Linked DNA regions of Sus scrofa. The protein of the gene in region 2 purifies or fractionates together with the protein of the main gene of each other region. This does not show direct contact. Links are inferred from orthologs where the notes say so. Each region holds a gene or a part of one and is shown on either strand. Other genes may lie near its edges.

Region 1 (4,404 bases), on a different chromosome or scaffold from region 2:
CAAAAACCCACCAAAAAAATTAAAAAATAAAATTCTGAGTTTTAAGGCCAATAAGAAATTTGAAGTCTTAGATTGGAAAGGAACCATTTAAAAGGAATTTGATTCCAGTCACAGATAACCATTTTACGACTACTTTCTGTATCTGTATTGTCTGATATTACTACATGTCCATAAAAGCACTTAAAGGGGGGAAAGTACATAAAATTCAAAGTGGTCTTTATTGTAAATGCCCATCTACTTGAAAATAGATATATACTGCCTAGTTTCCTAGTTTACTGTTTTGAAGTTTGCTTTTCACTGACAGGAACATTAAAATCTATTTTTCCATAGCGGTTTTTTCCTATAAAGTAAGAAGGTTTAAGAGGTGGCTACTCAAACGCTGCTGAAGATTCTAAATCCTCTAAAAAGCATAATTCTCCAAATAATTTTCACAGCTCATAGCTAAGATTAATTTAAATGTACATCTGTTTTAGGCAACAAAATATTCAACCTGTACCTTCCTGCAATTCTACAGTAAGTCTACAGGTTATAACTATGTTCAGGCACTTTTATTATTTTCTAGGAGTTGTTATGAGCTGCCAGCTCTTCTTTGCACAGTTCAGTTCATTATTCCATTCAAAGTAGTTTCATGGGAGTTCCCGTCGTGGCGCAGTGGTTAATGAATCCGACTAGGAACCATGAGGTTGCGGGTTCGGTCCCTGGCCTTGCTCAGTGGGTTAACGATCCGGCGTTGCCGTGAGCTGTGGTGTAGGTTGCAGACGCGGCTCAGATCCCGCGTTGCCCCGCATTGCTGTGGCTCTGGCGTAGGCCAGTGGCTACAGCTCTGATTAGACCCCTAGCCTGGGAACCTCCATATGCCGAGGGAGTGGCCCAAAGAAATAGCAAAAAGACAAAAAACAAAACAAACAAAAAAAAAACAAAGTAGTTTCATGTTCACCATCTTACTTGTCCCTCCTAAAAAGCCCCCTAATGGTAAGGTAGGTAGTCAGAGGATTCCTCACTCCAATTTTAAAGACATAGAAACCAACTTAGCTCATAAGCTAGTTACCATGCTGGGCCTGGAATTCAAGTCTCTTGAGTCTGCATTTATGCTTACCAACTGTCGCTTCGTTCCCTTAAGCTATCTCTCAGGGCAAAGTGAACTCTGTAACTGAAAGGATGCAATAGCAGGATTGCCAAAACTGCAGCAACAACTTCTGTCAAAACGTTTACTCTTTGGAAGATAATGTGTTAGCTGAAACTGTTAAGGAGAGATAGTCAAGTAGGAAGGGATGCTGACACCCATTATCGGATAGGTCAGAAAATCTGCGGTGCAACACATTTACTCCAATACACAGCTCACTGTAGCCACCTCATGATCCAGTTTCCTGGCTTGTTTGCTTGTGCACACAGACTGGTGCACAGGAGGACTCCCACACAGTGCTTTACCTCTGCTCTAACTACAGCAAATATACAACTCAGCAGTGACCCTTCAACAGTACTGAAAAAAGAGTGAGGTACACAACAGTCTTGAAGATCAACGGGGTTCCCCTCTTAAAACAAAACAAAACAGAACGAAAACCTCCCCACACCATTCTACCCATTAAGAAATTAAGTAAAAGGTTCTATTTCTTAAATTAGAGGTAAAGAGACCTAACTGTGGTTCACCTTTCTCCTCCCAAGCTTTTAATTAATATCCAGCTCAGTTTAACTTCCCTCAATCAGCAGTCAAACCACTAGGTCCAGTTTCTTCCTCCTATTTCCATAAATGTGACTTCAGGTCCTGGAAAATAGGACTTAGCTAATTAGGATGTTAGTGTAGTGGATCAACAGCATTCACCATAATAATTTACTGCAGTCATTTATCAAGCAGTTAAAAATGTACATCTAACTTTCCTGCTCTTTCTTACACACGTCTTAATGGTAACAACAACTCTATCAGGTATTACATCCATTATCTGAAACGAAGTGAACTGCCCAGGTTCACATAGCAACAAATGGCTGATGAAGGACCTGAACAAGGGCCTTAGTCTTAACCACTACACACAAACTGCCTAGCTTTCAACTGTAATTCCAACGTGATCATAAAACTAATCGCATGACCTTGGGCCGATCATTTCTGAGCTCTGGGCCTCAGTTTCCTTCACTATAAAACGACCTGCCCACGGAGAGCTTTTGGGTGCTTTCCTGCTTTTAAAAGCCCACTGAATTTACGACGAGATTACTTACTCCCCCAATCTCCAAATAGATGTAAATGTTAGGACTTAAGTTTTTTAACCAGTGCGTGTTCTAGCACATTCTCCATACTCTTCAGGCTGCTACAGTCCAGTCTTCACTTTGCGGTTTTAATTTTCAAATTTTAGATCTGTAATGCTAATTCTAAATATCCTCTCTCTGTCCTATTATCACCTTTCCCCACTACTAAGAGTACCAACAAGGCCCGATCCTATTCCAGACCTTTACCCGGTTACTCTACCCCACCTCACAGCTTCCCAGGCAGTCAGCAATAGGTATAAGAAAGCCCTAGAAGCAGAACCATGAAGAGAAGTTAGCTTTCCCAGAGGTCAAGAAAGGCTCTAGGACACCTGCCACGCCTCCCAACCCCGGCGGCGCGGCCTGGGCCTGGCTCCGCAACTCAAGCGGCCCAGGTTCAGGCCTAACCCATCCCGTCTGGCGGGTCCACCAGGGCCTGAGCCATCGAAACTCAGCCGGACCCCTCAGCCCCGGCCACGCCCGGCTTCTCGAGACCTCCGCCGCCAGGCCGCGCACCCAGGCCCCCGAGGGTCCTCACAGGCCCGAAGACACGGGCAGGCCCCTGTCTCACCTCAAGCCTCAGGAGGACCGCCGGTGGTGCCCGCGCCTCCTCCCGCCCGCACACCTGGCCCCACGCTGCAGTGGAGACAGCGGCTGAGGGAGCCTGACCGTCACGTGCCGCAGAACCAAGAGGCCTCGACTCCTGCAGCCGCCGCGCGAGCGAGCCCCACCGCACGAAGCCCGGCCCTGCGTCCGCCCCTGTCTCCTCAGTAGCTACCACCAGCGCCAAGTCCCGCCCTCTCGCGCAAGATCCTGAATTCAATTGGTTATTGTGGCCATCGCTCTATGCACCTTCCCATACGCCCCCTAGGGCTATTCTTCGTGGAGTGTGGGGATTGGTTAGGAGTGAGGCAGGAAGTGGCTGTTGGTTGGGCAGTATGGAAGGAGGCGGTGTACGGCGGCATCGGGATCGGCGGGGGCGCGCGCGCGCGCGCGCGCGTCGTGGGGCGGGACTGGCCAGGCAGGCGTTCCCGCGCTGGTTGTTCTGGTGCCTTAGTGGGCGCGCTGCCCGGCACTGCATCCTAATTTCTATGGTTTCGACCGTTCAGGTGCCTGGACCCGGGCCTCGGGGTCTGGCATCTCATTCCCTTCGATGAGAGAGCAAATGGAAGCTGGCAGGATGGGTGGGAGGTCCATTGAGCCATCGGGAAGGACCTGGTTTCCAGTGCAGCGAGTGCGCAGATATGATGGAATCAGTCACGGCTCCCTTGGCCTGTCCTGGAGTCGCTGTACACCAGGCGCCACCGTTCCTGCAGAGTCATTGCTCTGGGCCCAGCAGTCTGAGGCCGCCTTATCACCCAACGTCAAAATATAGCCCAGAATACTATAATCCAGCGTTACTTCAACTTTCAATTTGTGATGTTTCCAAAAGCAAGATAAGACAAAAAGGGCACAATCACACTTAACAGCAGTGAGTGAGAAAAAGATGGTGCAATGGAAAATTTTCAAACACACCACAGATTTTGTAACTAACTTTTAGCACATCTTCAGTTTTCTGGGCCTGAGACAGAGCAGGACTGTAGATCCTACTAAGGATCTTGTTAGAGATTTTTTTTCCGTTAAAGCACAATGTTCTTAAAAGGAAGCTGAGGCCAAATCTCTGAAGAATGAATTTTGTGTTTGTTTTTTTCACAATTTGAAGTCACTTTATTTACTGACCCAGATTACAAAAATAATCACATAGACAACTCAGTTCATCCATTTAATAAGCCTGTTAGATCTATTTATCTGGGCCCTTCAGGAGAAGATAGTTTGAAGGGCCACAGGATGTTGTTTGCTTCTTTGAAGCATTTTCCAACAGTACGGATTTCATGAATAAGATCCTCCAGGAGTTACTATTGTGGCTTAGTGAATTAAGAACCTAACATAGTGTCTGTGAGGATGCGGATTCAATCCCTGGCCTTGCTCAGTGGGTTAAGGATCCATCCTAAGCTTAGGCGTAGGTCACAAATGTGGCTGCAATCCCATGGGTTTTTTTGTTGTTGTTGTTTTTGTTTTTTTCATTTTTCTTATTACTCAAATGAATTTATCACATCTGCAATCCCATGTTGCTGTGGCGGTGGTGTAGGCCAGCAGCTGCAGCTCTGATTCAACCCCTAGCCTGGGAACTTC
Region 2 (3,813 bases):
TGAGTCACGGGTAGCAAGGTAAACACAGAAAATACGGTCGACAATACTGTAACAGCTTCGCATGTGACAGTAACTGGACGTACTGTTAAGGTGGTCATTTTGTAAAGTATAAAAACATCAAATCACCATGTTATACACCTAAAACTCAGATCATGATGTATGTTAATTATAACTCATAAAAAATTAATAAAAAAGTCTTCAGCAAGGATGAGGCAGGTAGATGGGCAGGAGGAAGTATGTATTTCCAGAATCAATTAGTTAGAAAAAATATCTATTTTCAATAAATTTATTTTTTCTAATCTTCAGATAAATCTTTTCTATGAAATACATTATGATTATCTGTCTCACTGATTATTAAATGTTATATAAATAGTCAAATTTACTAAACGAAAAATTGGAGCCAATAACATCATAGAAAAGGAATCTCTGTGGCTTTCTATTATTGCCATGAATAGCAAGACATTATAACAGTTTAATCATGGAATTAATCAAAATTCCTTGTTAACACATTGAAGGCTTTCAATCAAATACATAACTTTGCTGAAACGAAGAAATATTTCCAGTATAAACCGGACGGAACTGATAAATTAGTGCTTTGCTCTCTTCAACATCAGATTCAAAATGATGGCTGTTTTTCCGAGCTGCAAGAATAAGAAAGTGTTAATTTTTAAAAAGACAGTATAAAGTTTTTGAAAGCTACTTGATAACAATTCTTCCTATAATCAGCATTAAGTAGGACAATACCAGCAAAAAAGGACAAAAGGTTTACAGAATTTTCCCCCAAATAAGGCAGCACCCAGGCTGCAGGAGTGACCTCCTGACAGCAGTCGTGCCTGCCCTACCCCATGTGACACTCACTGCTCCCCCACTTCTTTTTCTTTTTTTTTTTTTTATTTGTCTGTCTTTTTTGTTGTTGTTTCTTTGTTTTTTAAGGGCCACACCCGAGGCACATGGATGTTCCCAGGGTAGGGGTTGAATCAGAGCTACAACTGCCAGCCAGTGCCACAACCACAGCAATGAGGGATCCATACTGCATCTGTGACCTACACCACAGCTCACGTCAATGCCGAATCTGTAACCCACTGAGCGCGGCCAGGGATCAAATTTGCATCCTCAGGGATACTAGTCAGGTTCATTACCGCTGAGCCACAATGGGAACTCCTCACTGCCCCTTTCATTCAAACAGCTACTAAGCGCCTACTGTGTGCAAGGCTGAGCAGGGCCTGGGGATGGAAACATCCACAAGGCAAGGTCCTGACGCTCAGGGAGTCGAGTCTAGTACCACACAGAATTGGCTGCTGCCACGTTTTTATAGACTAAGCTCAAGGAGATGCTTTAGGAGAAAAGAGGAGGGAGAAACTAGCAAAGCTGAGGCAGGGGGAGAAGTGAGACACTTCGCACAGAAAAGGCAGAAATTGGAAATACAAAGAGGCACAAAGAAGTCAGTGCGGCTGAAGGTTTGGATATGGGCGGGGGAGGGCACAGACCTTGCCCTAAAGTCAAAACGAAGTCAAAACAGACCTTTGCAGCATTTTAGAAAGAGATACTGGGAGATGAAGACTGTTTAGCCTTGACCCGAGATAACAGTGCAGAGTTTGCTATGTCCACTGCTGTCCTCGTTTACTACTACACACGCACCATGAAAATGTTTCTTGGGACTAAAATTGCACACAGGAGAATTTCTTTTTTTTAATATGAGGGTTTTGTCATGAAATTATCCATTCAATTGAGCACAATTCTAAACCACAGTGAACTCAGGAGGAAGAACTTTACCGCAGGTGTGGGCAGAAGGGTTGATAAAACCCTAGGGACAGCTTGGAGGGAAGACGCTGACAAGGTGCTTGCGGAGGCTTCATGCGGCCACGCTCTGCCTCAGTGACATCCCATCCGCTGCGAGCTGTGCCTGGAGCTAGGCCTCAACTCGACTACAACTTAAGCATCTAGAGCCAAATTCTCAGTTTACCCACAAACATAACATGGCATGAATACATCTGTGTTTTCATCACGAACAAGCAGGCAAAGCATATTAACTTTCTCCAATGTGCCAATACCTACAGAGAGACAGCCTGAAAATCACAGACTGATGAATGTATATTCAACTTATATATACATAAGTTGTCTTGTAAAAGTAAGAACTAATTCTCAGAGAATGTTATAATTAAAGCATTATTCCTAGAGTTTCCACTGTGGTGCAACAGGATCAGTGGCATTTTGGGAGTGCTGGGACACAGGTTCGATCCCCAGCCCAGCACAGTGGGTTAAAGATCTGGCACTGCTGCAGCTGTGGCCTATGTGGAGCTTGTGGCTCAGATCTGATCCCTGGCCTGGGAACTCCACATGCCGCAGAGAGGCCAAAAAAGAAAAAAAGGGGGAAAAAACAAAAATATTATTCCTAAAAAGAGTAACAGAAGAGAAAAAAAAAAATTTCAAGATAGGGAGGAAAAAACCCAATCTTTACGCTGTTGTTCAAGAATTCAGCCCACCTTAAAGTGTACAATCCTGTTAACTGAAACAATCATCCTGGTTTGACCTGAATGACTAATACCCCAATACTGGGGCTTTCACGTGAATTAATTTTTTTTAATTAAATCTACAGAACATTTATAGAGCAAAAAGAGTACCCGGAAGTTCAAACAAGGGCAATCTGCTTCAAAACCACACTGTTGTGATAACAGAGTGATAAAATTACCTTCAGACACAAAGAACTCTGCTAAATAAAATGCAGCCTTCACAGCGTTAGGTGCGTGGGAAATGCCCTTTAGTGTCCCCCACTCATAAGGCGCTTTCTCTGGATGCCACTGGACGCCATACACTGGATGCTGGTATCCTGCACAAGCAACACAGACTGCTAAGTATTAAGTAGCAAGAATGGTTTAAGATGTTACAATTAAATTATGTTTTACACCCCTTGTAAAGCATTACTTTCTTTTTTTTTTTTTTTTTTTTTTGTCTTTTTGCTATCTCTTGGGCCGCTCCCGCGGCATATGGAGGTTCCCAGGCTAGGGGTCCAATCGGAGCTGTAGCCACCAGCCTACGCCAGAGCCACAGCAACACGGGATCCGAGCCGCGTCTGCAGCCTACACCACAGCTCACGGCAACGCCGGATCGTTAACCCACTGAGCAAGGGCAGGGATCGAACCCGCAACCTCATGGTTCTTAGTCGGATTCGTTAACCACTGCGCCACGACGGGAACTCCAGCATTACTTTCTAACACACAATCTTAGACAAAGTAAAACTGTGCACATTCAGACACAAAGAATTTCAGTTCACAGACAACAAGAAAGTTCACAGTACAATATTTCACTGACTTTCCACCTGTTATGATTTGAAATATGATTCATTTCACTAGGTGATCAGAGTAGAGAAACAACTGAGCCTTTGAATATATTCCTGTTCAAGTCAAGTGCATATCTGATTCGGCCTACACTACAGCTCACAGCAACACCGGACCCTTAACCCACTGAACGGGGCCAGGGATCAAATCTGCATCCTCATGGATGTTAGTCAGATTCATTTCCACTGAGGCACAATGGGAACTCCTGGTGTCCTTTTATGTAAGCCAGTCTGTCTCAGCCTACACTGTGTTTCTCTGTTAGCTGGTGGAATGGTTCATGGCTTCATGGTGCCAATTTTCAAATAGTTTTTAAAAGTTTAAATTTGGTATAAAAGATTTTTGTTTATGTTGTTCACTTATTTTTAGAATTCTTAAGTGTCTTTATATATAAAAATGATATGGGAGTTTCCGTCGTGGCGCAGTGGTTAACAAATCCGACTAGGAACCATGAGGTTGTGGGTTCGGTCCCTGCCCTTGC

The links.
Region 1: the proteins of GGH (region 2) and CANX purify together in Homo sapiens (affinity purification with mass spectrometry; 3 studies listed by BioGRID and IntAct, with this or other methods). This does not show direct contact. The link is inferred for Sus scrofa from reciprocal best matches to the Homo sapiens genes GGH and CANX.

The regions. Positions count from the first base shown.
Region 1 is NC_010444.4:78,912,843-78,917,246, forward strand, and holds the start of CANX (calnexin), read right to left. Parts: upstream 2,983-4,404; 5' UTR 2,804-2,982; intron 1-2,803. UniProt on the Homo sapiens protein: Calcium-binding protein that interacts with newly synthesized monoglucosylated glycoproteins in the endoplasmic reticulum. It may act in assisting protein assembly and/or in the retention within the ER of unassembled protein subunits.
Region 2 is NC_010446.5:71,016,955-71,020,767, reverse strand, and holds the end of GGH (gamma-glutamyl hydrolase), read right to left. Parts: intron 2,828-3,813; coding exon 2,690-2,827; intron 642-2,689; coding exon 520-641; 3' UTR 255-519; downstream 1-254. UniProt on the Homo sapiens protein: Hydrolyzes the polyglutamate sidechains of pteroylpolyglutamates. Progressively removes gamma-glutamyl residues from pteroylpoly-gamma-glutamate to yield pteroyl-alpha-glutamate (folic acid) and free glutamate.